Linked DNA regions of Schizosaccharomyces pombe. The protein of the gene in region 2 purifies or fractionates together with the protein of the main gene of each other region. This does not show direct contact. Each region holds a gene or a part of one and is shown on either strand. Other genes may lie near its edges. The genes, in order: srp1, tsn1 and vip1.

Region 1 (10,391 bases), on a different chromosome or scaffold from region 2:
TTTTAAACTTTTAATTTTTGATGAAGTTCACCATATGGCGTCTCCTTCGTACTTACGAATCCTTGAGCATTTTGGCGCAGAATCGGAAAAATCGAAAGTGAATGTGATAGGACTTACTGCGACTCTTTTCAGAGCAGACGGAAAAGGGTTGGCTTGTGGCCTAGATGAGATTGTTTATCACAGGTAATGCTAACAGTAGAACGTTCAAATGCTAATAAATAGACATTTCGTGGACATGATCAAAGATAACTGGTAAGTGTGTCATATTTATAGGTACTCTTCCTAACTCCCAATGTTAAGGCTTGTTGAACCAAAAGTCATAAACATAAAGTGGTCTACAGATCTTGTGTTAGCTGATTCGTCTAGCTTCTTGGACCAAGAGAAGTTAAAAAAGGAGGCACAATCAGAAAAGGCAATATTCGAAATTCCAAGAGCTTGGCTCGAACATGCTAGTAAGCTGAATATAGTTATCTCTATATTAATTTCCTTTTAGGTAACCGCTCATCTACATTGGTGTTTTGCATAAATGTAGAGCATTCATTAAAAGTTTGTAATGCATTTCGAAAATTAGGTATTGATGCCCGAGCTTTGTTTGGGGAAACTAATGATTCGGAACGTGAAACTTTAATCCAAGATTTCCGAAAAAAGAAATTTCCTGTCCTTGTTAATTGCATGGTGTTGACTGAAGGGACCGATATTCCTAATATTGATTGTTTAATGATCGCTCGGCCTACAAGTTCTCCAAATTTACTTACACAGATGATTGGTAGGGGATTGCGATTGCATGAGGGAAAAAGAGATTGTCTAATATTAGATTTTTGTGATTCTTTAAGAAGAGTCAGTCTACATGTTGACCCTACTTTAGCTGGTCTTTCCCCCGATGAAGTTGAAAACTTTTATAATAAATCAAAGAATTCCCTTGCGAACCCTGATTATGATCCTAAAATTTATGGATTACAATCTGTTTTGTGGTACAGCAAATTACGGAAGTTGATAGAAATGATGGATAACATTAAAAACAAAGATAGGAGCATTTTCAATTTATCTACTAATGCTTGGGTTGCTGTCGGTATGGGTCGATATGTCTTGAGCTTTTTACAAAAGGTGTTGATAATTGATACAAATTTTGAAGATGGGACACATAAGATATCTGAATATACGAAAGAGAAATTAGGGACTCGAGTGTATAATCGAAAACGTATTGTATCCGATCGCATACCTTCCTTGAAATTCGCGATAAGGGCAGCGGAAACATACATTTCCAATTTGAAAACACCTCGTTCTCTTATTAGTCGTAAAGCAGTGTGGAGAATGAGACCCGCGTCTGTTAGACAAATAAACTTCTTGAAAAAATCAAATTTAAAACTAGATGAAAAACTCTTGACAGCAGGTGTTGCAGCTGATATGATTACTAAAGTAATTTATGGAGGAAAAGGTCGACAAGTTAGAACAGATAAGCTACAAAGTTATCTGAAACACGACGCAAATTTAAAGCGTATTACTACATTGAAGGAATTAAAGGGTTGATGGTTTCAGTGTTCTTCATAAAAATCGTTTTCTTCACTGTACCAGTGATAATATTTGCTTGGAGTGGAAAAGAAATGTCTATTATATGCTTTTAAAGAAAATATGAATGTCCTTATCTAAAAAGTATATTACTGGTATATATATTAAGACTGCTTCAGCTTGTTTCGTCTCCTTTCAGGTCGATTTTGAACGCTGCTGCGAGTTTTTCCTCCCAGCCTGGAGCTGAAAATTCTGAAAAATCAAAGCAGTTTTCATCGTCTAGTGCAAAAGACCCCTGTTTCAATCTCACAAGATCGACCATGTGTGCTTCACTATTTACTTGTCGGCCCAAATCATGAATTAAAGAGCGAACGTAGAAACCAGAAGAAACCGTCATATCAAGGACTGCAATTGGCCCTATTGCAGGTCGTGATCCTCGCGCTAAATCAGTGACTTCAAACTTTCGTTTTTTAGGGTTTGTGACAGTTTGATCTTTGGCTACATCTGTAACAGAATTGGTAGTGGGACTCTTCGCGTTTATTTTTTCATCACCATCTTGGGGATTGATGTCTTGCTCTGTCTTTGCAAGTAAATCATGACGTTCGGCACCTCCCTCAATAGGTCTTAAAAGTTCCTCACTTTCAATTGCCTCCTTTGAAGCAAATTCATCCGGATCCGTGTAGGTGTGTTCTTCCTTCGGAATAAAATCTTTTAAAATTAATTCTTCGCAATGCATAGATCGTGCTTTGATACTTTCAGGTAAAGGAATTCCTTCGCGTGCATACTCATATAGTCTCTTACCTTGAATATGCAGAGCAGAGTAAAGAGGAGGTAACTGAGAGATGTCACCTCGAAAAGCGTCTAAACCAGATAATATTTCCTCTTTAGTAGGGATGTGTACAGCAATCTTAATTATTTTTCCAGCAGAATCATAGGTATCTGTCGAGCAGCCAAACAGGGCTGTCGCTCGGTAAGTTTTCATACATGAAAGTAATGATGAAAGTTGCTTTGTTCCTGTACCCAATCCCACTACCAAAACTCCAGAAGCAAGAGGGTCTAAGGTACCTCCATGTCCAATCTTTATATCTGGTAGTCTGTTTGATTTTCTTCGTCTTCGATTACGATCGTTAGGGTGTGGAGGAGCAGGCCGAAAATATTGAGCTAGCTCACTGTTTGAAATTATTTTTTTTAATTCTGTCAGTTAGGATCATTTTAGTTTGCACAACAATTATTGCAAGTAATTGAATATTAATGGTAATTTAAAAGAAAAATACAAAAAACTCCCTAAATAACTTACCATTTAAGCATTGAGCAGAGGTTCTACCAGAAGGCTTATTTATGGCTATTAATCCACCTTTCATATCTAAGCATAAATCAGCGACGAAAAGGGCGTAAAACAAGATTTCATTTTCTTCATTTGCTTTAGCAGTAAACTTCGTTATCCTTTGAAATACTACCCTTGTGAAAAATAGGGTAGGGTTATAAGTATTTGTGACTGTCATAAATACTTAAGATCCAAAATTACTTAGGAATAATATCATACTTTTGTCCGTTTACCGACATGCCCTTTATCAAAGCAGTCAAGAGCAGCCCTTACTTTTCACGTTATCAGACGAAATATCGTCGTCGTCGTGAGGGTAAAACCGATTATTACGCTCGTAAGCGTTTGATTGCCCAGGCCAAGAACAAATACAATGCTCCCAAGTACCGTTTGGTCGTTCGTTTCTCCAATCGTTTCGTCACATGCCAAATAGTTTCTTCCAGAGTAAACGGTGACTATGTTCTTGCTCACGCTCACTCTTCTGAGCTTCCTCGTTACGGTATCAAATGGGGTTTGGCCAACTGGACTGCCGCCTACGCTACCGGTCTTTTGGTCGCTCGTCGTGCTCTTGCTAAGGTTGGCCTTGCTGATAAGTATGAGGGTGTTACTGAACCTGAGGGTGAGTTCGAGCTCACTGAGGCTATTGAGGATGGTCCTCGCCCCTTCAAGGTTTTCTTGGATGTTGGTTTGAAGCGTACTTCTACCGGTTCCCGTGTCTTTGGTGCAATGAAGGGTGCTTCTGATGGTGGTTTGTTTATTCCCCACTCTCCCAACCGTTTCCCTGGTTTCGATATTGAAACTGAGGAATTGGATGATGAGACTCTCCGTAAGTATATCTATGGTGGTCATGTTGCTGAATACATGGAGATGCTTATTGATGATGATGAAGAGCGTTATCAAAAGCAATTCTCTGGCTTGATTGCTGATGGTATTGAGAGCGATCAACTTGAGGACATCTATGCCGAGGCTTATGCCAAAATCCGTGAGGATCCTTCTTTCCAGAAGTCTGGTAAGGATGCTGCTGCTTTCAAGGCTGAGTCTCTTAAGTATACTCAAAGGAAGCTTACTGCTGAAGAACGCAAAGAGCGTTTCAACGCCAAGGTTATTGAGGCCGGTCGTGCTTAAAAAGGGTGCTTAATAAAAAATTGACATTGAAGAAAATTTTTATTTTTGGCGTAGCTTTGTTGTATATTCTTGTTTTGTTTTTTTTAGTTATGATTTATAAACGTAAAGTAATAACGGTTTTTTGCTAAAAAACTTCATGAATTTGATATATAGTTAAAAATTGTCTATGCGATTTTGGTGTCCAAACTAAAAGTAAAATATTAACACACATGTATGTTGAAAAAGTTGTATTCAACAGTAATACCTTGGAAACAAAGGCTGCTGGTAATAAAAAGCTCTGAAATTAGAAGTGCGAACAACAAAGTTGAAATATGATATTAAAATGGCATAAATAAATAAATAGATAGTTTTATTACAAAAATTTTTAACTCAAACTAGTGAACTGTCAAAATTATAGTCTACAAAATCCAGAAGTCAAAAAGTATTTTCATAGTAATTGCAAAAGCTAAATATATTTTGAGCACACTGTTGTGCCCTTAAAGAAGGAAACAAGCGACCATCATACCATAATTCAAACAAGCGTTTGGCAGTAGCATACCGCTAAATAAATAAATGCAAAGGAACATTCATGGTATCAATTTTTGCGGCATCACACAATTGATGTGAGAAAGAAAGCTTATATTGTGAGATAAACCTACGGCATAAAAGTTCAAGCAACAGCGAGAGAAGAAATTGGATTCTAAATCATCTGTTCAGAGCAAAATCTGCCACGAATCAGCACAGTCAAAAGTGGAAATTGTTGAGCTTTTTCTTCGGTTTTATTTTCTAAAAAAAAATAAAGCGCCCTGAAAAAAAAAGGACAGATTTACACAAACATGACATTTCAGAGTTTTAGCCGGATAAACGACATTAACTGTGTTACGGAATTTTGGAACAAAAGTAAAGGAATATAGACAATTTTTAAAACATGAAAACCTTTTTTTAATTAAGTACAAAAGTTTATTGAGACTCTGTAGTAGTAGGGTTGGATTCTGGTTGCTCTGAAGCAGCTGACACTTCGGGTTGGGCTTGTTCTGGTTGCTCTTGTGAGACATTTGAGTTCTCTTCCTTAGGAGGCTCTTGCTTACTTTCGTTTTGACCGACTGGTTCAAGATTATTAACTTCCTCGTTACCATTAGAGTTAGGTGCAGATTGTTGTTCAACTTCAGTGCCAGATTTTTCGTTAGACTCAGAGATTTTTGTGTCACCATTATCAACATTCGTTTCAGTTTCATTCTCTACTGGGCTCTTTTGAGGTGCAAAAGAGACTGGTGAAGGTGAACGATGGTTCCGTTTAGGAGAACGACGATCATAATCGGGAGACCGACTACGTCCATCAGGACTACGACTACGCGAACGATAACGAGGGCTCATTGATCTTCTATCAGATCGTTCATCATTATAAGGGGAACGAGATCGGGCTTCGTGCGGACTAGGTGACCTTGAACGTAGCCGTCCAGAATCTCCGTGAACACGACCTCCTCGTTCGCGTCTTCCACCACGTTTGGAGCCAGGGCCTGACGGAGGTGGTTGCTTGGCCCATTCTACACGAAGAACACCGCCACCTCTTTCGAGACGACGTCCGTGCACTTCATAATACGCATCTTCAGCATCACGGGAATCTTCGTACTCAACGAATGCAAAACTATCCAATAAGACGGTTAAAATCTTTACTTAGAAAGCCATTTACTTACGGTCTTGAAGTTCGAGTTCTAGGGATTGGGATGTCGCAACGTATTAAAGGCCCAAAACTAAATGAATAAATTAGCTATTTAAAGTGCATGAAAAACAACTTACGGCTCAAATTCATAAGCAAGCTCACGAGCACGCATTCCATCTCGAAATCCTGTCACATAAAGGGTACGAAGGCTTCTGCGACTCATTTTTTTCTTAAGAAGACGTTTTTTGCTCCAAAATTCGGTGTAAGTGGAAGGAGGAATGGAAATCCAATAGCGAATAGCACGGTGTGGCTAACGAATTTAGTAAAAATCACTCGTGCTCACTAAATTGAAATCCGACGACAAAAAAATTAATAATGACCTGCAGCGCGAAATACAAAAAGTAACTGCTAACACCAATATTAAATCAATAAAAGCATCGTCTTACAAGTACATATACGTTTACGATTAAAAAATTAGAAAGAGAATAATGTTAACCAACTAAGCTATTAGATTTTCATTGTATTCATATCTGGGAACGAACACTATTGATGTACACTAAAGCCGGATCAATAATGCACCGGTAACCTAATTTATGAACGCTAACCAAATGAGAAGCAACTAAGAGCTGATCCCATAAAGTGTGAGAAAAGGAAACGAGCTTGAACAAGGTAATTTAAACCTTGAATGCACGAGACTTTCTGCGACCACGAGCTCTCTCGAACTTACGGCCCTCAGAACGAACATAAGGAGCCTTATGCTTGTGGGGACCAAAGCCAAAGTGACGGTAAGCCTCACGAGCATGCTTCTTACCACGAACAAGAACAGTGTTGCTTCCAGTGGGAGCACGTAGAGCAAGCTGATCGAGGGTTAAAACTTCACCACCAGCTTTCAAAATACGAGCGCGAGCAGATTTAGTAAAACGAAGAGCGGCAATAGAAAGCTTAGGAACAGTCAACATACGCTCATCGTCGGTAACGGTTCCGACAACGACGGTGGTTTTGTTCTGAGAAGAAGCACTCTTACGGCTAGTTAAAGCAGCGATCTTTGAGATAGAAATAGGAGGACGGTTAGTCTTGGATTGAAAAAGACGCTTCAAAATAGCCTTGTTGAAGCGGGAATCTGTACGACGGGCCAAAAAACGGTAAAGCTTAACCAAAAGCTTTAAGTAGACGTTCTCCGAAGCAGGCTTGCTGCGTTGAGACTTTTTAACGTGATGTCTCTCGATATCAATTCCCTAAATCACTCATTAGCTTAATAGAACAAACAGGTATTCATATTATACATACCATTTTGATATAACGCTGCTTGTTCGTTTCAATAATCACTGCTAAAATTGGTAGTAAATTTGTGACTGCCTTTTTGAGCTAGGGTAGGTTTTAGGGAGGTTTATCGAGAGTCACTAGGTACGCCTTATTTGTGTAGCAAACCCATAAACGGAGGTGTATAAATGATTCAATATAAATAAGTATTTGCTAGATTATTTATTTATAATAGTGAGATTTTGGAATAGGGTAGGTGTTACTTTTGCATTTATCGAACACGTTCATTAACTCTCTAAAAATTAATTGTTTTATAAAACTAGATATATGAAAAAGATGCATTTGAATTTTACTGCAAATAATAATTGAATTATATAACCATATTTCATTGAAAATATTATACTTTATGGAACCCTTCAGTATTCATTTATTGTAAACCTTTTCATGCTTTTTGAGTAGACAAAGAAGTATTTTTTTTTTAAGCTGCACGAAAATTGCAAAAATTGATCGGAATACAATTTCTTTTACTATTGGGCGCTTAAAAGATAACAAAAATAAATATAAAGTGCGAACACGAAGACGTTGCAAATACTAGCATATTTCAAATATTAAGCACATAAGTAAATTAATCAATATATTTTTATAATTGATTATTCAAATCTATGTATCTGATAACTCGTAAAATTGGTTAGGTTACTTATTTACCTATTTTTTTTTTTCTAAAAGTATCATTTTAAGACCACGAGTCATCTACAGGATTGATTTTAATTTATTTTAGGCAATAAGGAACATATCTCGATTTAATAGGAAATCTTTGCAGAGATTTCTATCAATTACGAGATTAGGATATTTTTTTGATCGTTTAGATAACATTTTCTATTTAAAGGGATCAGAATGTTGCTAAAACAAATATATTTGCTTCGATGCACAAACACTTTCTAAATTGAACGTAATTATTAATCAATGATAATATTTGATTATTTAAGTTACTTGCATGTTTAGCTCACATTAACTATTTTAACTCTACGAAATTAAGTAATTGTTATGTCCTCTATCAATTTGATTTGAAGCAATTTCATGTTCTTCTTTTGGCATAGATTCAGTCAGCTTAGTAGTTGCAAGTAGATAATTCTCCATACTCTGATTGCTAATTTCTTTAGGTATTTAGCTCTTTTTTAAAATCAATGATATTTACTTAATTACTTTGGAAGGAGAAAACCATTAATATTATCTATTTGTATTATGAGTTGTAACGTGGTTTCGTGGTGTAGTGGTAGCATACTTCGTTTGGGTCGAAGTGGTCACGGGTTCAATCCCCGTCGAAACCCGAACTTTTTAGTTTGTTTTTTTATTTAATTCAGTATAAAAGCAAGTTTTCAACTTTTTATGTTTTCTGCCATTCCTGACTGCGGGTAGTAAACACGCGGCCATTTAGCAAATATTATCACAAATGCCGTAAATACTTTCTGTTCACTATAGTTTGTGCTTATAATAAACCTCTTTAGTTTTCTTTAGCGAATATGGTTAAAGCTGTCCTTTTTGAAACACTTTAACATGCAAGTAGTAATAGGCTATCATTTTTTGGTCATTAAATATTAAATCATTCATAACACTATATTTAAAAAGGAAAAAGTAATTCATTTTCTGTTCACCATAATAAAATATTGTATCACCTTAAACAGCGATAAAGAATCGTAATGCCACTTAGTAAACGGATTTCTACGCTAACTTGCTGGAATCTACTATAGATGATGAGTATCTTCAGTACAGTGCTTAAACTATTATGATGTCAACTGAGGACGTCATACTGTATACGCAAAGTATGTAAATTCTATTAATACATATATACCCACCACAACATACCAATTTAAATCAAATTCGTTAGTGTTTACAACTTTGAAGAAAATTTGACTTTTATCTCTCCTCATATTCACTGAAAAATTTTTTAAGATGTCTGCAAAAGAAGGAAGCTCCCATCCCTCATATGCCGAGATTGTAAGAGAACATGCTCCTGAACAAACAGCAGCAGAAAAAGCCGCACCACAGCCTCCTGAAGTTGAGGAAGTTCTGAGTGAAGAACCCTACCAAAAAAATGAAAAAGTTGTCGTTTTAGATGAGGAAGATGCCGACGCCTTTCTACATCCCGAAGAGGCGGAGGCAAAGAAGGAATCAGAAAAACCATCCGATGGGGAAAAGAAAGGTAAAACTGAGAAATTGGAAAAAGAAGCGAAATCTGTTTACTCCAAAGCTTGCAATTTTGTCAATGCTCATAAAGTTCCAGCTTCTGCTGCCATATCAATCAACCTCCTCAGTCTTGGCGCCATCTCTGCATATCTCTTGAAAAGCCGTCAATCTGGAACCCTTAACAATCGTACTCTTTGCACCTGTACCGCTATTGCTGGCATTGTATTTACAATCAGCGCTGTATTTTCAAAGACTCCCAAAACTGCATGCTGTGCTTCCAAAAAGTCTAATAAATCAACTTAATGTTCGTTAAAATCTGGAATTCATTGTTTGAAAATCTCCAGTATTGTTTATTCCTATCATCTTCTTAAATTAACATATCCCCTCTTGATTTTCTGCACTTCTGCTGCATTTTACAGGTTTGATGAAGAATACCTCTATAGTATATCACAATATTTTATTTAATGTTATGATTTAATTGAACATTACTTGTAATGCTTTTGCAATATTAACTTAGTGAATTTAGTAATTGATTCCGACTATTTGGGCGTTCTGGCATAGCACTGTCATCACACAATTTATTTATTTGTCGCGATTACTTAATTAAACAATGCGTTCAAACAAGTATAATTTACAAAATAAATTCTAAATAAAACCATAATTATTTATTAAATGTAGAAAATGATAACTAAAGAAAAGGGTTTAACCGAGAGTTCTTTTTGCCTAAATATGTAAAAGAACGAATGAAAAGGGAGAAAGGAAAGTAAAAATTGAACGAATGAAGAAATAACTCATGCACTTGAAGATGCTTTTACGTGAAATTAACTCCACAGAAACAGCATAATGGTAAATATGAAAAAAAACATGACTTTAGATAACAAATAACCAAAATATTTTGTTTTCTTTGACGAACGACTCAATGTATTTGAGCTAAAGGAAGCAGACAAAAATGCACACAGTAATATCCTAGTGTGCTAATGAAAAATCTAAATGACATGAAAGGCTTTGGCCTTAAAAAAAATTAACAATTTAGGAATATAACAACCCACGTTTGTGTTCACCTAAACGCATCCCACGTTTCGGAGCAGCTTGAGCCCAGCTGTCTCGTCTCCTTAAACCAGCAGTTGGAGTTGCGATTATAGTAGGCTTAGAGGCCGTACTAGCATAATTAGCATACAACGTATACATGTACGTTGGAGATGCAAAGACAGTCGAGGTGGCAATGGGAGGACCTGCAAACGTGGTAAATACGGAATAAGAGGAAGTTTCCCATAGCGGTTGTATGTCGGTCGTAGCAGCAGTAAAAGTAGAATCTGGTCGATTTTGAATAGGTCCTGTACGGAGAACACCGGTAGT
Region 2 (10,121 bases):
CCTTCATATACCTTTCGGAAAATTTCAGCATAATTCGATCAATTTTTTGGGCTTCACCGGGTAGTCTGAAACACTGCAATAGACGACGTAAAGCGTCTACAAACTTTAAATTTATAAAAGATAAACAATCAATAAATTCATGCATCACGGAAATACTTTTCTCATCCCCTTCTCCTAAGTAATCTCCTAAAGTAGTTTTGTCAATACCATCAGCACGAAACAGAAATTCAGCGATAGCTTTAGGATCATTTATGTCAACATATTCATTTTCTGAAAGCATCTTAAGACCTCTAGTAGGTTTGTAATTGAACTTGTTTATACAAGTCCGTAATAGCTTCTTTCGTTGTTTGTTTGATTCAAATTGTGAAGGATCTGCAAGTGCGATAGAACTACTGCTATGGGAATTTGCTTCAAACGATTGTTTTCCGTTATAATAAGGATTCGTCACAGGAGTATCAGACCTGGAAAGCGCATCATAATCTCCAACAAAACCTTGCTCATCCGTTGACACACCTCGGCGAGATAAATAAAGACCACTTTCGGCCCAATTTGATAAAGATTGCAAAATGTCAAGGACGCATTGCAAAGTCTTTAGCTTCAATTGAAAATCGCTAAATGTGGTAAGTTGAACCACTTCGGACTTTAACGAAGCAGAGTTCGTATTTAGAAAAGGGGTACTACTCCGTTCAGAAGATTCTAAAGAAGGAAGAATTTCTTCAATATCTTCGGATATCGTTTCCGAAGGACCATTGGTAGTAACTTTTGAGATTGAAAACAGCAATTGTTCGAAAACGTTGGTAGTGGAAGAACGATCACAATCGTAATTTATATACAACTCTACAAGAGCTCTTGGATTAAGACAGATTCTCTGGATGATTAACAAGGTATGGAGCTTCTGATTGTAGGAGGTGTTCTTGAGGTCTAACATCGGAAAATAAACTTCTCGAAAAAACACTTCAATTTCCTGTTTGAAGTGGGCACGCAAAGAAAAAACCATAAGATAAAAAATGTCACAACAGACTTCAAACACCTGGGGAACAGGACTTACAGCATTGCGAGATAATACTAGGCAAATATATTGACGGGAGGCATGAACAAGGGTCATTCCTTTAAGTGCTGGGATACCACGAAATTGGAGAGTAGGATCCATGAATAAGTCACTATTTTTTTCTAAAATGCGATATATAAGATGGAGACTAATTAATTTCGCGCGCATAGCTTGAGATCTGATATTACTGACTTTATCAGGCGAGGTTTGTCTGACAGCAAGTCGACACATGGATCGGAACACTAAAAACGCGTCTTGGATAGAGGAATTCTCAACACTGGTGACAGCTGGGTCATCTGCGTCAACTTTAACATGATCTAATGATGAAGTGCCAGCAGATGCCATAGAATGAAGAGTAATTTTCTTGTCAGGCTCATCCTCATCGTGAACCCAATTTTCCGTCACCGATGCATCTTCTTCCGGTAAAGCAGATGTAGAGTTCGACTGAGTGTGGCTCGCGCGTAATCGTTCATAGACTACAGTGACAGCCTGAGTCAAAGAAGCTTGAGCAACTGACTGTATAGTATCACTATCCCCGAGAAGAAAGACATTAAAGAGTTTACGAACAGAATTCAATAATATCGCTCCATGAAGCATACTATCCTGCTCAGAACATAAGATAAAGGCAGATAAAGCTTTTACAACATTCAATTGCAGATTTCCATCAACAACTTCATCATTGATACTATCGCATACCATATCAACCATACACTGTAGAAGGGATTTAGGGGGCCCAAATGAGGCAGGTGTTTTATCTTTTGAAGAAAAATAGGCGAATGAAGCAAGTTTAGAAATAGTGTCTAAAGAAATGTTCATAACTTCATCTTGACTGGATTCAAAGCAGTACTGAAATAACTCTACTATCAAAAATTTGTCAAACTGACATTCGGTTTGTAGAAGAGGTTTTAGTTGCTCCATTAAATTCTTCATCTTCTCGTTCTTCATACAAACTTTTATTTGTATAAGCTGCTCGATGCACTTTATAAGCACTACATGAGTGGATTTTTCCAAATTGGTTAAACCTGATTTTTGCTTTTCCAAACTGGCCCTCGATGCAGCGTCAGGTACAGGCGTCGCGATAGTTTCATTGGATTTTTTGTCGTCTTTCAAGTCTTCTTCTTGATATTTCTGCTCGATTCCTTCGGGACTCTTTTCGTTTTCTTGTTTCGCTGGCGACAACGACGAATCTTCTGTATTTATATCAATACTTACCACAGCATCGCCTTCTAAACTTTCAGAAGCAACACGACCGAGATCCATACCATTTTCATCATCTTCGTTGTCAGAATCATTAATAATTTTAGTAACTGATGTTGTTCCAACTTCTGGAAGATCTTCGTGTCTGTCATGTTGCTCATTCACGGAGTTCATAGGCAGAGCAGGCATATTGATCACAGGTTCAGAGGCATCCTGCATTTTGGCATCGGTCACGTTCAAGCCAATTGCCGTCTAGACGAGCCAACTTTTAGCAATGAAATATAAGGCGGAGTATGTCTTTGCTAAGTGTTTTCGGCCTTAATGTGTCGAACGTTAGATCTCGGTTCAATGTGCTACTTATATAAAGCAAACGAGCGAGACTTATAATAAATTGTTTTATTACAGTATGGATTAAATAGTAAACATTATAACTAGATTTATACAATATTCGTTGTTTTACTGAAACTTTTATTGTCGATATTGACCGTGAACGTTTTCTTATTTCTTTTTTACAGGACAGCATTCCTTAAACTGTAAAAGGATTAAGGAATTAAACAAAATGTACGATTTCTACCATTTTAAACATGTTCTAAAAAAAAGAAACAAACAAAGTTAAGTATTAATATTAGGCTACATTTTTTCGTCCCCTTAAAAATCCCAAAAAAAAATATCATAAAGTTTAAGAAAAGGATATCAGTCCAAGGTTTCAAATTGACCATTTAAAAATTCGACAAACATTTCCTTGAGAACATTGGTATTATATGATTGTTGCCGGTTAATTTGGATAAATTGACGGCGCAATCTTTGAAGTAAAGGAAGAGATACTGTAACACTGGGTAATGCGATTTGAAGTTTGCTCCCTGGTACAGTAATCAAGGAGGTATCGTTGGAATTATCCAGTATAAGCATGATTACGTCTTGAGTAGTTTTATCTAATTCATATAAATAGTTGACTTCAGCTGGAGGTTTTACCATTGTAGCTTGGTTAGGCTTGACATTTTTGTTATGAATAAGAACTGACCAGATGTCATCGATAGGACAAGAAGCATCATCGTGCAAGACAGTAAATAAAGGGGAATCCCATCGTGTCATTCCATTCGGTTCTTCATAACGAAACATTAATTGCTCAAGAACATCGTCAGGATACGGCTGTTCCTTGTTACTATTGAATTTTCGACATAAATCTTGAGGAACAGCAACATGAATCACACAATGAGTTGTGTACATAGACTTTGATTCACAATATAACTGGTATCGAAATCCTTTTATGTAATTCAAGGCATCGCAAATTACGAATGTAGATTTTGAAAGTTCACGCTGAACAGCAGAATAGAGAAGGCCACGAGCGGCCTTTTCGTTCTTGGACTCTAAGACAAATTAGTTACCAGAATTACGAAAAATTGCATATACGGATTCTCCCATCATCTAGAGTAGCTGGGCACAATCTGAAGCCAAAAATGAATTGGCTAATTTCCAAAAACTAAATCATTAAAGATAACTATTTAAACATACCTCGATATGTTTCTTTTTCAATGTTTAAACTCTCATCGTTTATTATTATCACCCGATAATCCTTTGTATTGTCGATATTTTGATGAATTCGATCTTCTAAAGCCTTTTTAAGTTCATTTGACCTCGTTGTTTTCCCTGAAGATGGATAACCTGAAACAATTATTAATGGCATTTTCTTTATGTTCTACAAAATAGAAGGTTGAATAAAATCAGCCGTAAAACATATGTTTGAAAACTTCCAGCTTTTTTTTGATATATTTTTTCATGAATTTAACGAAAATTACTAGTTCGTTAAACATTAGTAAACAGTTAATTTTTATCCTTAATTTGTATTTCGTAATGCGCTCAATTTCGGTACTGACTTATTACTTACGACTAGTAAGTATTGCTTAGGCTTAAAAACACAGTAATTTCAATTTGCGGTCTCTTTAATTTAATCTTGCTTCCCTTTACCTTATCAATTGTTCTAAAAGAATTAAGGATTAACACTAGTAAGACCCCGGATTTTAATCGCTAAAAAAACATGCACGCCTTCTACGCAATCAGGGTTGTTCAATTTAAAAATAGTAATCATTTGTTGAAAGATTTTAAAGGTGCATAGGACATCAAGAAATATAAGCTAAATGCAGTTGATTAAAAGTTAGAAAAGTATCTACTTATGCCGCCATTAACATGTATCTGGTAAAATGCGACTAACTTATAACACATGTTGTATACCAGTCCAATGATTAATTTAGTACCCTGGAAAACGTCTTGAATATTGGGTAAAGAAAAATCAGAACTTAAAGAAACCTAGGCTGAAATATTTTTTTTTTAAATAACTATTCAGTTTGCCAGAGAGTGTAACAAAATTAAAGAAAGAGAAATATAATTGCATTCATCATAGGACTGCCAGTTTCATAGCAAATAAGCAGACCTAATATTAAAAAAGCAATTTTATCGGCTCAATTTTAGTCAAGCGTACAGCTGGCAAATAAATTGTTAGCAATTTAAACCAATTTATGTATCCGAAGATCATAAACAACTGCATATGTCAGAAATAAACTATCAAAAAAAAAAAAAATCCACGTAAATTTCATACCGTCCTCAGATCTTTTCAAATCATATTTTAATCCATCGAAATGTCTTCTTAAGGAGTCGTTTTTCAAAGAGAGTACTTGAAAAGAAGAATGAACTTTTTGAATAGTATTTAGGGCCTCAAATGGAATATGATAGTTTCCAGATATTACTGAGTTTACAGATTGACGAGCCTAGAAATTGTGTCAATTTGGATTGTTGAATAGAATATATACCAGTTCAGAACACAGAGATAGTACTGCGTGCAAATATTGCTCAATTGAAAGATGAAAAGTGGACTCTTCTGGAAAAACCGGGACTGAAGATTGTGAGAAAAATGTAAAATAATTTACGCACCTTGCAAAATTTGACCAACTTCGGAAAGCGATAGAAGGCTGTACGTGGGTCTTAAACTTTTATCTAAACGACCGGTCCAGGAAGCTAGCAAATATAAATAAACAACTTTCTGAATTGATCGATCCCAGACTCCGTTATATTTATAGTATGGAAAATTCGATGCCAATTCTGCTAATCCTCTGGTTTTGCTTTTAATGATCTCAAGAGCTTCTAAAATTTCTTCCTGATTTTCTAAATCTTCCAAAGTTAGTCCATGTTCTTTTTCTTGTAAATTTTCATTTCTACTTTGTTCACAGTTTGCCAAGAGAAGTTGCAAAACTCTTAACTTTTCGTCTAACAAATCGACCTCTGCAGTCAGTTTCTGTAATGTTAGTTTGTCATAATTTCCAAGATTAGTACCTCCCGAATACTATGTTCTTTATCAATTTGATCTTGTAGCTGAATAAATATTGATTTATTCATTCGACTTAATCTGTAATGTATGCTGTTGAGTAGTGTTGATATTCGAATGATGTTTTCAGTATGCAAATAACACGACCGTTGTGATATTTATCAGCCAGATTATACCAACCTTTTTCTTAAGTCGTAAAATAAAGATAATCAATTTAGCGGGTATTTTGCAAGTTATTAACTAAAATTATTACTAGCTGCTAAAGAAACGCTTGGGTTGTTTAGATCTTTTATATGTAAAATGATATATTATGTAACTGAAGAAGAATCTAACCTAATTGAATAATTTCCTTTAAATTAATCTAAGCTTACAAAATAAGTTTCATCAGCCAACATTATTTAAAATTAAAATCATGCTGATTTCGAACCTCGAGTTTCAGGAGGCAGAAAAGTAATTCCACTGCCATCGCACATACGTCGAAAGTGACCATTATTATGATAAAGTACGGCTGGGGGACCATACTCTACCAATACACCCTTATCCAAGACCATGACTTTGTCATAATCAACAATAGTTTTCAAACGATGGGCAATACATAACATAGTTGCATCGCCAAATGCTTCACGCAATGTTTTTTGAATTTTCTGATCCATAGCATCATCCACAGAGGCAGTACACTCATCTAGAATAATAATTTTGGAACGTCTAACTATTGCGCGTGCTAATGCAAGGACTTGTTTTTGCCCTTGTGAAAAATTAGAACCTTCAGAAGCAACATGTGTATCTAGTGTGATATGAATAGGTTTTTGATCATCAGTATGAGCCATAATCATTGAACTGGCTCCACTTGTTTTGAGAGCTTCATTAAGAAAATTGTCTTCAAGCTCGTCGAAAGGATCTAAATTACTGCGTACGGTACCTGAAAATAAGATTGGATCTTGAGGGATAAATGATATACGTTGCCTTAAAGCGTTTAGGTTTACCGATTGTGTTTCACGACCGTTAATATATATTTCACCACTAATACGATGTGTAAACCGTAATAGTGTAAGGCCAAGAGTACTCTTTCCGCTACCAGTACGACCGACCACAGCAACCTTTTCACTCGGATTTATATGAAGATTCACGTCTTTAAGGATAGTAGGACCGGCTGCGGAATAGCTAACACTAACATGATTAAACACAATATCTCCCTCCTTAGGCCATGTAGCTGGTACCTGGCCTGCAATAGTGGGTGCTGGTTCTTGCGGAAGTTTGCTATACTCTAAAACTCGTTCATAGCTGTTCATCTCAGCTTGCAACGAATTACATGACCTTACAAATAACAGAACCGAAGAACTGAAAATAACAGCCTGATTAAGAGAAAAACCCACCACACCTGGAGACAAGTCTTTCTGCAAAAGAGCGATTAAACCGGCAATTGCACCAACTAGACCACTGATGCCATCTGTTCTAACAGCAACCCATCTGTTCAAATTATAAGAGGTTGATTGTAAGCGCACGAGATTATCAAGTCGCTCAGAAAACATTTGCTTAAAAATGGTTTGTCGATTGAATGCGCGAATTACACTCACACCGACGATACTTTCGCCAAGCAGACTAAAGATAGGAGAAGTATAAATTGAAATTAATCTTTTAACGCCAACCTGTGCCCTAGTATACAACAAGCCGAAGTAATATCCTGCTAAACAAACTATTACTGCAGGTATCATGAAAATAGGCATAGCGGAAGACACCGATAAAATACCTCCAGCGACGGATAGGAAACAATTAATGGAAAAGAAAAGCCATCCCGATAAATTCATATCAATAGACCTTATATCTTTAGCAAATCTATTGACAATTCTCCCCGTTGGCGTTTTATCGAACCAAGAGGCAAAGGTACCGAATACGCTTTCAAGCATAGAATCGTGAAGCTTTCTTGATGCCCACCAAGCACCGCGGTCATAAGACACGGTTCTCAAAAAATCAAGCAAAGAATATGCTAATAACATTGTACCATACACAAACAAAAACTTGTTATTATTGACGTCAGGAGAATTCACGGAGCTGTTTGTCCAAAAAGCAACCCACAAATCGATCAAAATTGAAGTAGCTTGAGTAGTGACGAAAAACAGTAAAACAGCAGCGACGTAAAATCCAGAGCCAAAATGTTTCATATAGCTAAAGATTTCACTAAATACAACATCGCCTGTAACCCGCTGCTCTTCCTCAACCAGCTTTCCATCTTTTTCGTCAGCAGCTTCCGCATCATCGACTTCATTTGGGATAGGTATAGCAGCAAGATCTGGAGCAGCTGCTTCGGAAGCTGATGCTGCCTGCTCAGCCAAAAATAAAAGAGGGGATGACTTATCAGTAACGGGAAAAGCAGATCCATTCTTGACAGTAACTATGAAAGCAGCAGAATCCATAAATAAATGGACATTGTGTGTTACTAAAATAACTGTTCTATTCTCCATCAGAGAACTTTGAAAGCAATGCTTATAAATCCAATTGGAAGTATGAATATCCAACGCAGAGAAAACATCGTCCATTAAAACAATTGATGTTGGGGAGTATACTGCCCTCGCAAGAGCAATACGCTGCTTTTGGCCACCAGATAACGTTACACCTTTTTCGCCAATTTCGGTTAGATCACTTGCAACAAAACTTTGTAGGTCAGTGAGCAATCCACAAGCTTGGATAACCTTTTTATATCTCTCCTCGATGTACGGATAATCAAATAAGATATTGTCTCGTATAGTGGCATTTCTCAACCAAGGTACTTGAGAAACATAGGAAACGCCTTTTGATCTAGGTAGGTTGTATGAACCTTTATTTAAACTGAGTTCTCCCAGTAATGCGGAAATTAGCGAACTTTTGCCAGAACCGGTGGGACCTATTACAATTGACAGTTTATTTCTGGGAAACACAATGTTCAAATCTCGTAAGCAAAAATCTCCAGGAGACGGATTGGATACCCAAGTTAAAGAAGCATTGAAAAAACCAATTTCCTGGGAAGTATCTTCAATAGTATTGACAGGATCCACTTCATCGGGGTCATTTAAAAAGTCAGAAACCCTACCAATGGAAACGAAAATTTGAACTATTTGACGCATAAGATAGGCAATCCAAGAAAATTGTGTACGAATGAAAGAAAATAAGGATATAGAGGTAAAAGCTATTGATGGTGTAATAGTTTGGCCCATTATGGTAGTAAAAACTACAAAAGTTGCGAACATACTAAACACAGGAAGTGATTCAACTAACACCTGTATACAAATCTCCATTAGTAATAACTTCCAAGTACGATTGAGTTCGACTTGTCTCCGTTGTTTCACTCGATCAAGCATTGGCAATTCCCATCCAAAAAATTTGGTAATACGGATGCTCTGCAATAATTCTGACATGAGCTCGATACGCGAATCAGTTGCACGATTAGCTCGCAATGTAAGCTTTGCGACCAAAGGTCCTAAAACAATAGGGACGGAACAAGTTAAAACAGTTAACGCTAAACCAACATACGCACTCCACCCTAAAAGTTTTTGGAGAAGATAAATGGATCCAGCAATTTCAACAGGCGCACGAACAATGATATGAATAAACTCACGAATTTCACCAATATCATCCACATCAGTAGAAATTAAATTGTTGGATCTTCCAACTTTTGAATCCCCCGATTTGTTTTGAACAAATCGAGATCGAATGACTTTGTTGTATATTTGCTGTACAAGAGTTGTGTAAGAACGCGCGAGGTAACGAGTCGACATGAACAAATAAAACTGGGTAAAAAGAGAAGTGAGAAAGGGGCCAGTTAACAAAAGGACAATCCAAACCAATGGATTAACTGAACTAGATGAAGGTGATTCCAAATGCTTTAGAAGACGATTTAAGGCAATAGGAGAAAGAAACTGACAGACGCTGACCATAAAACTGGAAACACCCATCCCCAAGATTTGTCTCCAAAATATCTTATGTATAGTAATAAATAGGGAAGGGGTTTTCATGCGTTCGAAACGATATGTCCAAGCTTTGTTCTTATCATAATCTGGTATAACCGGAGTATCGTCAACTTCAACGACACGACGCTTAGCTGTCAAAACTAATGGATTCAGGTATCCATAGGAGCATGCAAAATTGAACATACTACAGACCTGTTCAGCAGAAGGCTGATAGTTATCCTCAGGAAATAAAGGATACCAAACACGGGGGGTGAACAATGGGATAAAATTCCCCACAATGGTAATAAAAAAGTAAAACCATAGGAAAGGAGAATAGCTAGAGAGAGGAGGATGGTCTACGAAAAAAAAGGGGTAAGAGTAGAAATGAAAGATGGGGGGAAGAAGGAGTAAATTAAGCAAAACTGCTGCATGATACAAGGTCGGTCGCGCACGTGGATAAATCATTCGAAGAGAATGCAAAAGAAACAAATGGACGGAATATGCAAGTAAGCATATTTTTACAGGAGGATCAGAAAATGCAGTAGGAAAAGCGTCATTTACAAACATGAAAGCAGTCATTCCCAAAAAGAGAATAGACAGAAGCCATAACAAAATTCCATGAGCTTTTCGCAGCCCTGAA
Region 3 (10,199 bases), 3.2 Mb from region 2:
AATTTTTGCTATCCAACGCTGTGATCCTGCGCCTTTTAATATACTCGATGAATGTGATGCTAATTTAGATGCACAATATCGCTCGGCCATTGCAGCGATGGTCAAAGAGATGTCAAAAACTAGTCAATTTATTTGCACTACTTTTCGGCCTGAGATGGTGAAAGTTGCGGACAATTTTTACGGAGTAATGTTTAATCACAAAGTTTCAACAGTTGAGTCGATTTCTAAGGAGGAGGCTATGGCATTCGTTGAAGGATAAAATGGTTATGGTTTGTTAATTTAAGTTCGCATTTTTCTTTTTAATTTCTTTGCGTGGACAAACCGATCTTTTTGCTATTAGTCATTCTTTCATTAATATCTCTGTTATTTAATTTTATCATACTTAATTTATAATTTTTATATTCATGATGCAATTGCGCTTGAATCAATCAGTGCGTATTACTACCAGAGTTGATACTTTCACATATAGTTTTTTTAAAGTTCTAATCCCAATGGAGAGTCATTTTAATAACTTTTTCCAGATTTCTATTTGTATTCAAAAAATCGAAAGCATGTCGTAGCGTTAAGACTTGTATAAATTCGCTATTTTAGACCTCCAGTCAGTGCTCTTAATTCGCGACAGTACTTACTACATTGTGCGAACAAGATCAAAGGCAGAGCATCTATATCCATGGAAAACCCTCCATACCATGTATCTATTTCCAAATCGGAAGGTGAATATTTTGAAGCTTGATTGATTTTTTCATTTACTAATGAATACTCAGAAATTAAATATCGCCAAAAGTGCAAGGATTTAAAGGCTAGAATTCAGGAGATCCAAAAAGGAAATCAGGAGTTATTAAGCAAATATGAGGTTATTCGAAGAGCTGTCAAGCGTGGCCGATTAGAAAGAGCTATCTTAATGGAACAGTTGGAATTGCAAAGTGAAGCAAAATCTCGCGAATTTGGACAGCGCTCTGAGCCATCTCCTCCTGTAAGTGTTTTTATAGAGTGAATTTATTGTAATACTTGTACTAATCATATGTAGCCTCCTCCCGAAGGTATTAAAATCAAAATATCAACGAAAGGCGCTGGAAACCCGTCTGCCAAGAAGTTAAAGATATCTACAGAAGAAACATCTGATACAAACGTAGCATTAAACAACACGTCGGAAATATCTCATAAATCATCAAATAATTCCCAGCCTAAAGATGCATCCGTCAATGACACAGATGCAGACTTTGAGCAGCAAAATCAAGTTGTTCAATCAAAAGATGAAAAAATTACGAATACTGATCCAATACCTTCTCCTATTATTACAAATCTTAAAACAGAAAGCTCAAAATCATCTGGAGCTAAAAAAGCTACTTCTAATGCCAAAATTACAGACACAATGTTATTCAACCATTTTTCGTCTATTCAAAAACCAAAATTAAAGGCCGAAGGCTCTACCTTGAAGGGACAAGCTTTGAAGAAAACTCTTGAAGATACATGGAATAATTTGACCGAAGAAGAGAAGAAACCTTATCATGAAGGATTGCTTGCAGCGCGTGAGAAGGCCAGAGAAGCAAGACGTCGACGAAGTGCGCAAAATTCAGCAAAACTAGAGAAAGAGAAAGCTAAAGAAAAGCAAAAGGATAAAGATCAAGAACAAGACACTGTTAGTGATAAAAATCAGATAGATGAGATAGAAAAAGGGCAGAAGGAAGTAGATGAAGAACCTGTTTCTGAACCCACCACTTCGCCTATTTTACCTCCAAAAAATCAAGAGCCAATTCGTATGGGAGGATTCACCGTTGTTAATAGATCCTCTAATGCTTAAAAAGAGCTTTCTGATGCAGGCATCAGATCAATGAGGCAATGCTTAAACTTTGTGTCTCAATATTAAAGGTTGGATTAGAAACTAATAGTTTGTCCACAATATATTTTCCTCCTCCTTGCCATTTGCAAAACTTTTTCAAGGTTCCGTTTTCTCTTCACATTATTTACTACCATTTATTCTTTTTTTTTGACTTAAAGTCATAAGATTATCAAAGCAAAAATTTTGAAAGACAATTAAGCGAATGTGTGATTTGAAAGTGGAATTAAGGCAATTACCAGCTGGTTTGTGATTAAACAATGACAACACGAGTTCGATTAATAAGTGTTTAATTTTTTTTTCTTTTTTTTCCAACTTTTTTTTGAAATACTGATTTGGAAAAGAGATTCGTGGTAACGACGAATGATTGTATTTTTTATCAGGGAGAAACTTTTTGCGATTATTTGAATATTTCTCTTCATTCTTTGATAATCTTTAATGATAAACTGTTGTATTTTTTATATATTTCTAACCCCAAGTCCTTTCTTATTTGCTGATTTGGTGTTTATAGAAGCCATCACTGTACGCTTGTTACTATGTTTACATTCACCGGAGTCCAAAATGTAAACACCATGGGTATTGTTTATGTTTACACTCCCTTTTTCTCCAAACATATTAATGATTTTGTGAACAGTTGTGTTTTCGTATTTTAGTGAAATTGCATATTACAAAATATCAAAACAGAAAAAAGAAAAAGCCAATATTAAGCGTGTATATTTTGTGAAACGTGAATAAAAAGAGCAATGGATTTCAACAAAATTGGTGACGAAAATGTCGTTTTCCAAATCTTTAAATTGGAGATGCTAATAATGTCGGAATTTCCTAGCTTTATCGAAGAAAAAGATAAACTTTTATGTCTCAACGTCTTAGCAAATCTTCTAGGAGGAATATTTGAAAACGAGGATAAAATAATTCCCAATTATAAAGAAGCCGTCATAGCGGCTCTCTTTGAACGTTTATTGCTATCTTCAAATCAAAAAAGTACCAGTAAAAGCAACCAAATGATTAAATTGCTAAACAATTCGTTAGCACATAATAACGGTTTGCCATCTCAAAGATGCAACCACGATTCAAAATTGGTGTATATGTCGTTAGTACAAAATAATGGTTTACCTGGTCAAAGAAGCAATTACGTTTGCTGTCCCTTATGCATGGAGCAGCACTGTATCGAACTGCTGACTTATCAGTTATTTGCAAAATGGCGAAATTTCCCAAGGATTGATTTTTCACCTGTTCTGCAAGGCAATCGGGGACCGCGATTCTTCTATACTTGTTTTCTGTGCAACTCAACGTTTTTAGCATCAGCGTGATGATTACGACAAATTTCTGCTAAAAGATGGATACATGAATTGCATCCAAATATAAATGATGATGAAAACTACTTATATATATCTTAATACTATCGTTATCTTTCATAGGTTTCACTCCAAAACATGCCAAATAAAAATGTATGTACTCGTTAAGCCAAAACAAATTACAAACTACAAACATACTCCTTTTTCCTTCAATATTGATAACATCATAGGGAATATAGACAGCAATTTTCCGATTAATGGGAGATAAATATCAGCGTATCTTATATAAATAACAATAAAAACTTCAATGAAAGCATTAATTATAATAATAATCGATAATACACTGAATCATTACAACCATCTGAAAAGAATAACAACAAGGTACTATAATTTACTCAGTGGTCTTTGACTCAGTGGTGGGAGCAGTAGGCTCCTTCTCAGCAGGGGCAGTAGGAGTGCTAGAAGCTGGGGAAGCCGTACCTTCAGCTTGGTTTTTGGCATCAGCAAGCCTACGAGCTTCGTTGTGGATGCCAAGCAACTGGTTTTTACCATCTTCATAGGCATTTTGAACCTTTTGTCCGGCAGAAGTGCCAGCAGCAGTTTCAAGAGCTTTGTGGAAATATGTGCTAACCAAAGAAGAGGTGCGGTTCAATTTGTCAGAAATGGCAAATTTATTATCAACCTCATTGGCCTTTTCGGTGACATGATAACGTTCGTTAACAGAACGAACGCCAGACAAAGCAGACTCGAGGATCCCCTTGAATTTTGAAGAAACGCCATAGCTTTGGTCTAGTTGAATACTCTTTTCCAAAGTTACATCGCTCAAATGATATCCGCGACTTAAAAGTTCAGAGATTATAGCTGAACGAGGCTTGTCTTCTTGACGAGCGGCTTGATCGCCTCCAGCACCTCCTTGATCGGTAGTAGAAGCAGCACCACCATCTTCACTGGTGATTTGGATTTTGTTTTGTCCAAGGAGAGCATCTTGCAAAAGTAAGGCCGTCTTGGTGGCGCTAGGGCGTTCAAATTGGATTTTCGCGGTTTGGGTTTCTCCAGATTTCTCGGTAGAGATGTTGGACACTTTACCGCAGAAAGAAAAGAAGTCTGAGATTTGTTTCTCAGTAACTTCAGGAGAGATGTTCGTTACAATAACTTGGTTGCTCATTACTTTTGTTTCAACTGGTAATATGGAGATTCAAAGTACGTTGAGTGCCATGGAGGCTGCTTTTAAGTAGTGATCATCGATGACGACATCCTCCCAATTACGATTAGATTGAGCCCAACGAAAAAACCACAAAAATGCAAAATTTCCTGACATTTCTAACTTGCCCTTAGCCTATATCACGGAAAGTTGACTTTGTGCTGCTTTGTTAATGCCACTACTTCATACTTTAAATCTGATATTACATTAATGAACGTGTGTTTTCAAAAGATTGCAATTATCGCGATAAGTGAGCCTAAATCAAAATGAAGCTGAAAATAGATGACAATTATCTTTTTATCTGAATATCACGATACAATTTTTATTGGTCACTGTAAACTAAATAGGATAACACTTAGATACTTTGCTGTACTCATGATTTCTTGACTTGGTATACTAGTTGGCTTTGTTCGTTGCATGGCAAAGTGCATAAATTGTGGAAAAAATATCCATTAAATTGCTATTACGAAGTAATTTCCGCTTCTACTATGTTTCGATAAATTCATAAACTTAGGACCGACATTAATTTTCCCGATATCGGCATATCCGGACAGTGAAAACTGATGTTTCTAGAAAACCGAATTTGCTGGATCGCCTTTACGGTCTTTCTAAAGAATGCGAAAGAAATATATGAATAGATTACCTCGCTTGTTCCTTTTCTCATGTTAGTCATCCAAATTGTTTCTTATTGAATAATGAGCAAAATTATCAGGTATATTGAGAAGGCAAGAGAAATATAAATGTTAGACCTACAATAAGTAAAACAAAGATAAGTTAAAGGCTTTCCTTGCTTCAAAGCATTTTTTAATCTATTTTCTCGATCTTACTTCCTCAATGTACATAGGTTAACAATATTTATATTTTACATTTGGGCTTAAGCTGCGTATAGAGAAAATAAAATATCATAAATATCATAGGTATATTGCTACAAAAGATAGAAATGAAAACCTCTTTTACAAGTAACTGTGTTATATTTACGAATTGGTGATTTGAATAAACCGTTGTACTTGAAGTTGGCACCTCACCTCGGAGTTTGTTGGTGTTTTATATTGATTAACCTACAAAGACACTTAGTCTAGTAGAGATTGTGCTTTGAATTTGTAAAAGACAAGAATCACCTAACTAGCCGCTAACCTGGTAATGTAACTGTGAGCGGATTATATGGTTACATGTTTTCTCACTTCCACAAACTTCACAAACACAACGATGGCGTCGAAAGGTGCTTATAAACGGGTATGGATTTATAATTTTAAGCTTCTTCTAATTATTTTAGTTAATGAAAGAATATCTAGCTCTTCAGAAAAACCCTGTTGAGCTTGTTGACGCTAAACCTGCAACTGAAAACATTTTGGAATGGCATTATATTATCACTGGCCCTCCGGACACTCCATATGAAGGAGGACAATATCATGGTATGTTTCTTTTAAATTTCCTTCTGTAATCAATATGTGCATGAACTTTTGGCTGTTGCCATCCTTTGCTAACTTTGCGTACAGGGACATTGATTTTTCCTCCCGATTATCCTTTTAAGCCACCTGCAATTCGCATGATTACTCCAAGCGGACGTTTCCAAACGAATACCAGACTTTGTCTTTCTTTTTCTGACTTCCATCCAAAATCCTGGAATCCCTCATGGATGGTTTCTACTATTCTGGTGGGACTCGTTTCTTTCATGACTTCTGATGAGATTACCACTGGAGGTATTGTAACTTCGGAGTCTACCAGGAGAACTTACGCAAAGGATACGAAGAGATTTAACATTATGGATAATCCTAAATTCTTAATAATGTTCCCCGAGTTAATTGACAAAAATAGGGAAGACATTGCCAAAGCAGCTGCTGAAGCGGCCCTAATCGAACCCCAACAAATTCACTCCACTCCTGTATCTTCCAATGAATGCAAGAAGAATGAACCGTTTAATTCAAAGCAAAGCTGGGTTAAAAGTCGCTGGAGCATAGCAGTTTTGGTGTTTTTTGCCCTTGCTTTAGCTCGTTTTTTTGGAGCTGATTCTTAAGATGTTATGCTTTGTATTTATTTTATTAACTTATGAAAGCGTTTTTGCATTTGATCCTCCGATAAAGAGATTAATGCCAAATAGCGCTTTGCCGTCCTTATATGTTTATTTTTTTTCTTTCGTTGCCTGTTGCCCCTTCATCTCTGCATCACATGTCGCGCTTCAATTAAAACTAAATGGAAGTTAATCTTTGTTCTAGTTTCTTTTTATAGACAATTGTCTCTTAGCAATTGCTTGATTTTTAGCTTACTAAACTACATTTTTTTAAATGTCGTCAAATGTTATTAAAGCTTCGACATTTCGGTAGAAAATAAAATTAAATTTTAGTTACTCAATTCATTATTTGTGATTTTCTTCAATCACTATCCAACTCGTTGCATATCCAGCGGCCACAATATAGGCCCAGCCTGGTAATTGAAGAGTTTTTGCATCATAAACATCTCTTTTATCATCATTCGAGGCATTTCCATGCTCATTCCAACCGTATATTAAAACACTTCCTTTCTTTGTCCTTAAAATATTGTGCTCAGTTCCACTGGCGATTTGGACGATATCACTTGCTTTTGTATGGGCCTTCTGAGCACGATCACAACGACCAAAAGCATAGACACAGCCTTCAGTACTTAATAGACTCAAGGTAGACCAGTTTGCTGATATAGAGCAGATGGAAGAAGACAATTCACTGTTATTTGCTTGCCAAGCATCACATTCTGCTGCTACATTCCACTTCTCCCCTCCTAAAACAATTACATGTCCTGTTTCTTGCAATACTGCACTGAACTGTACACCACATACAACAGCTTGAGCATGTTCAATACGCCCGAGAAATGAAACCTTGTTAACTGTTTTCATAACTACCGGTCCAAGTTGTCCTTTGCGGCCATCTCCACAACCATACAAGTTCCCTTCATTTGTAACACAAATCCAGTGTCTTAATCCAGCCGAGATATCAATAATGAACTCTTTATCGTCAAGGTAAGGAATGTCAATTTCCCTCAAACCTTGACTATTACTGCGATTCCCTTGACCCAATTCACCGGAAAGTCCTTCACCACATGAACAAACACGTCTTCGATCAGCATGTACTATAACGCTGAATTCCCAACCACAAGTCAGGAAAACCCAACGCTCATGACTAACACGGGTGAATATCCGTAAATAGTCTGGACTTAGGGGATTGTAAAGAGGTTCTTTCACTTCATATCCACATTGTCCCTTGCGATTATCACCACAAGCCCATAGTTGAGAATCCTCATCTAACAATAGGGTGTGGTTTCCACCACATGAGATTTTTTCAATTGCACGGTCAAATGGCACTATCTGTGGGCTGTAAACATCCTCATCATTGTTCAAACCAAGTTGGAAGTTACCATTTGAACCTAAAGATAGCAGCATAGAAATATTAGTTGTGGGTTTCTAAAGTGGTGGCACAATGGAGGTTTGTAAAATTTCATCTTCAGTACGATTAGTTTTTAATTTTTAGAATAATGTGAAATACATTATTTGGAAATTCCTATCATTTCGATTTATATTTGTGGTAACGATTTTCTCTTAAAAAAATTTTCGCCAGCGCTTAAAAATTTGTTAGCAACCTAATTTTTCTCTCCTCCACGTACCACCAACTTTGGAGCAAACATCAGGGGACAGCCAATATGAAGTACGTTTTAGTATCTGGAGGTGTTATTAGTGGTATTGGAAAAGGTGTAATTGCCTCTTCCACTGGATTACTGCTAAAAACCCTAGGATTGAAAGTTACTAGCATCAAGATTGACCCTTACATGAATATTGATGCTGGCACTATGTCTCCCCTTGAACATGGGGAAGTTTTTGTTTTGAATGATGGCGGTGAAGTCGATTTGGATCTTGGAAACTATGAGCGCTATCTTAATGTTACATTAACCCATGATAACAATATTACAACTGGAAAAGTGTATTCTAATGTCATTCAGAAGGAACGTCGCGGTGATTATCTTGGAAAAACAGTGCAAATTGTTCCTCATGTTACGAATGAAATTCAAGACTGGGTGGAGCGTGTTGCTCGAATTCCAGTTGATCAAAGTGGTGAAGAACCAGATGTTTGTATTGTTGAACTCGGTGGTACGGTTGGCGATATCGAGTCTGCTGCTTTTGTGGAGGCCATGCGTCAATTTCAATTTCGTGTGGGTCATGAAAACTTTGTATCAATCCATGTTTCTCTTGTCCCTGTAATTAATGGCGAGCAGAAAACTAAGCCTACTCAACAAGCAATTCGTGATTTGCGTAGCTTGGGCATTACTCCAGACTTGATTGCTTGCCGCTGTAAACAACCTCTTGAGAAATCTGTGATTGATAAAATTTCTCTTTTCTGTCATGTTGGTCCCGAACAGGTGCTAGCTGTGCATGATGTCTCTAGTACATATCACGTTCCTCAACTGCTTGAAGACAAGCTATTGGAATATTTGAAAATTCGTTTCGCACTGGATAAGATAAGTGTATCTCGCGAACTCGCTCTCGCAGGCGAGAATATGTGGAGCTCGTGGAAACATTTAACACAGGGATACGATCATCTTTTCAAGAAGGTCACCATCGTCCTCGTAGGAAAATACACTCATCTTCAAGATTCCTATATATCAGTCATCAAAGCATTGGAGCACTCTGCTATGCGCTGTGGTCGTAAACTTGACCTCCAATGGGTAGAAGCTTCTCATTTGGAAGCTAGTACAAATACTAGTGACCCACTTAGTTACCATAAGGCATGGCATTTAGTCTGTTCTGCCAATGGTATCCTAGTGCCTGGCGGATTCGGCTCTCGCGGTGTCGAAGGGATGATTGCCGCAGCCAAGTGGGCTCGTGAAAATAATACACCCTACTTGGGCATTTGCCTTGGTATGCAAGTTGCCGTTATTGAATTCGCGAGAAGTGTTTGTGGAATTGAAGGTATGTTTTTTGATGCTTTTATTGGACTCCATTTTAAATTTTTAACTGCCTTCTATTATTTTTGGGATCTATAGATTCCATGCACTTACTAGAGGTTTTTGTCATTTTCCGTTGACTCTAACTGTAGACAAGTGCTACATGAATAGTTAAACAGTTATTATTAATTGGAGCATATTTTTTATTTTGCTTCTTTCAAAAGATTTTTAACTAACATTTCTAGGTGCATTTTCTGAAGAATTCGATAAGGAATGCGAAAACAATGTTGTTGTTTATATGCCTGAGATTGATAAGGATAAACTGGGTGGAACTATGCGTTTGGGATTGAGACCTACCTTTTTCCAACCCAATTCCGAATGGAGTAAACTTCGTAAACTTCATAAGATGGTTGATGAAGTTTTGGAAAGACATCGTCATAGATATGAAATAAATCCTGCGTTTGTAAGCCGTTTGGAACAAGGTGGAATTTCTTTCATCGGAAAAGATGAACGTGGTGAGCGTATGGAAATTATTGAGAAACGTGACCATCCTTACTTTGTTGGCGTACAATACCATCCTGAATATTTATCTAAGCCACTTAAGCCCTCCCCACCGATTTTTGGATTGGTTGCGGCCAGTGCTGGCTTGTTGGATGAATTTATTCAGTCTGGTGAGGAAGTCGAATGGAGCAACTTTTCTCATTTTAACGCTGAATCTGCCTTAGCTGACATGAATGACTCTGTTGAAGTTACTGAAGAAGCCACTGTCGTCACCATCAGTTAGAAGTAGGTTATATGGGATTCCGGGAATTAGGAAATAATGTGTGTTTGTTGGTGTGTTTTTCTTTATCTATAGGAAAAATTGGGTTCTGGGGTGTTGACACTATTTATCAATTGTTGTTCTGCTCAAAAGCTTTCTTTTGATGTATCCAGTAATTTTGCAACTGAACCGTTAGTCTAA

Evidence for each region.
Region 1: the proteins of tsn1 (region 2) and srp1 purify together in Schizosaccharomyces pombe (affinity purification with western blotting; one study listed by BioGRID). This does not show direct contact.
Region 3: the proteins of tsn1 (region 2) and vip1 purify together in Schizosaccharomyces pombe (affinity purification with western blotting; one study listed by BioGRID). This does not show direct contact.

The regions. Positions count from the first base shown.
Region 1 is NC_003423.3:3,358,307-3,368,697, reverse strand, and holds srp1 (pre-mRNA-splicing factor srp1), read right to left. Parts: upstream 5,855-10,391; 5' UTR 5,815-5,854; coding exon 5,729-5,814; intron 5,683-5,728; coding exon 5,626-5,682; intron 5,577-5,625; coding exon 4,892-5,576; 3' UTR 4,183-4,891; downstream 1-4,182. Other genes in the region: ATP-dependent DNA helicase Irc3, read left to right, coding at 1-183, 223-252, 301-452, 494-1,527; pus4 (tRNA pseudouridine synthase), read right to left, coding at 1,682-2,700, 2,804-3,008; rpl502 (60S ribosomal protein L5), read left to right, coding at 3,068-3,952; rpl1801 (60S ribosomal protein L18), read right to left, coding at 6,266-6,826, 6,879-6,881; SPOM_SPBC11C11.06C (uncharacterized protein), read left to right, coding at 8,802-9,338; knh1 (KRE9-like protein), read right to left, coding at 10,065-10,391.
Region 2 is NC_003424.3:4,389,961-4,400,081, forward strand, and holds tsn1 (translin), read right to left. Parts: upstream 5,670-10,121; 5' UTR 5,633-5,669; coding exon 5,570-5,632; exon of another isoform or gene 5,532-5,569; coding exon 5,456-5,531; exon of another isoform or gene 5,408-5,455; coding exon 5,171-5,407; intron 5,133-5,170; coding exon 5,050-5,132; intron 5,008-5,049; coding exon 4,839-5,007; intron 4,782-4,838; coding exon 4,747-4,781; 3' UTR 4,416-4,746; downstream 1-4,415. Other genes in the region: Sec7 domain-containing protein sec72, read right to left, coding at 1-2,464; kti12 (elongator complex-associated protein Kti2), read right to left, coding at 2,939-3,612, 3,758-3,929; vacuolar phytochelatin and glutathione S-conjugate ABC family transmembrane transporter Abc4, read right to left, coding at 5,972-10,121. UniProt on the Schizosaccharomyces pombe protein: DNA-binding protein that specifically recognizes consensus sequences at the breakpoint junctions in chromosomal translocations. Selectively binds single-stranded d(GT)n and d(GTT)n microsatellite repeats.
Region 3 is NC_003424.3:1,211,269-1,221,467, reverse strand, and holds vip1 (RNA-binding protein Vip1), read right to left. Parts: upstream 4,330-10,199; 5' UTR 4,298-4,329; coding exon 3,524-4,297; 3' UTR 3,240-3,523; downstream 1-3,239. Other genes in the region: psm3 (mitotic/meiotic cohesin complex ATPase subunit Psm3/Smc3), read left to right, coding at 1-259; Ino80 complex HMG box subunit Nht1, read left to right, coding at 671-713, 765-973, 1,028-1,801; protein mug94, read left to right, coding at 2,581-3,147; ubiquitin conjugating enzyme Ubc6, read left to right, coding at 5,540-5,566, 5,607-5,745, 5,830-6,347; RCC domain-containing protein Ats1, read right to left, coding at 6,687-7,742; CTP synthase Cts1, read left to right, coding at 8,000-9,263, 9,484-10,022.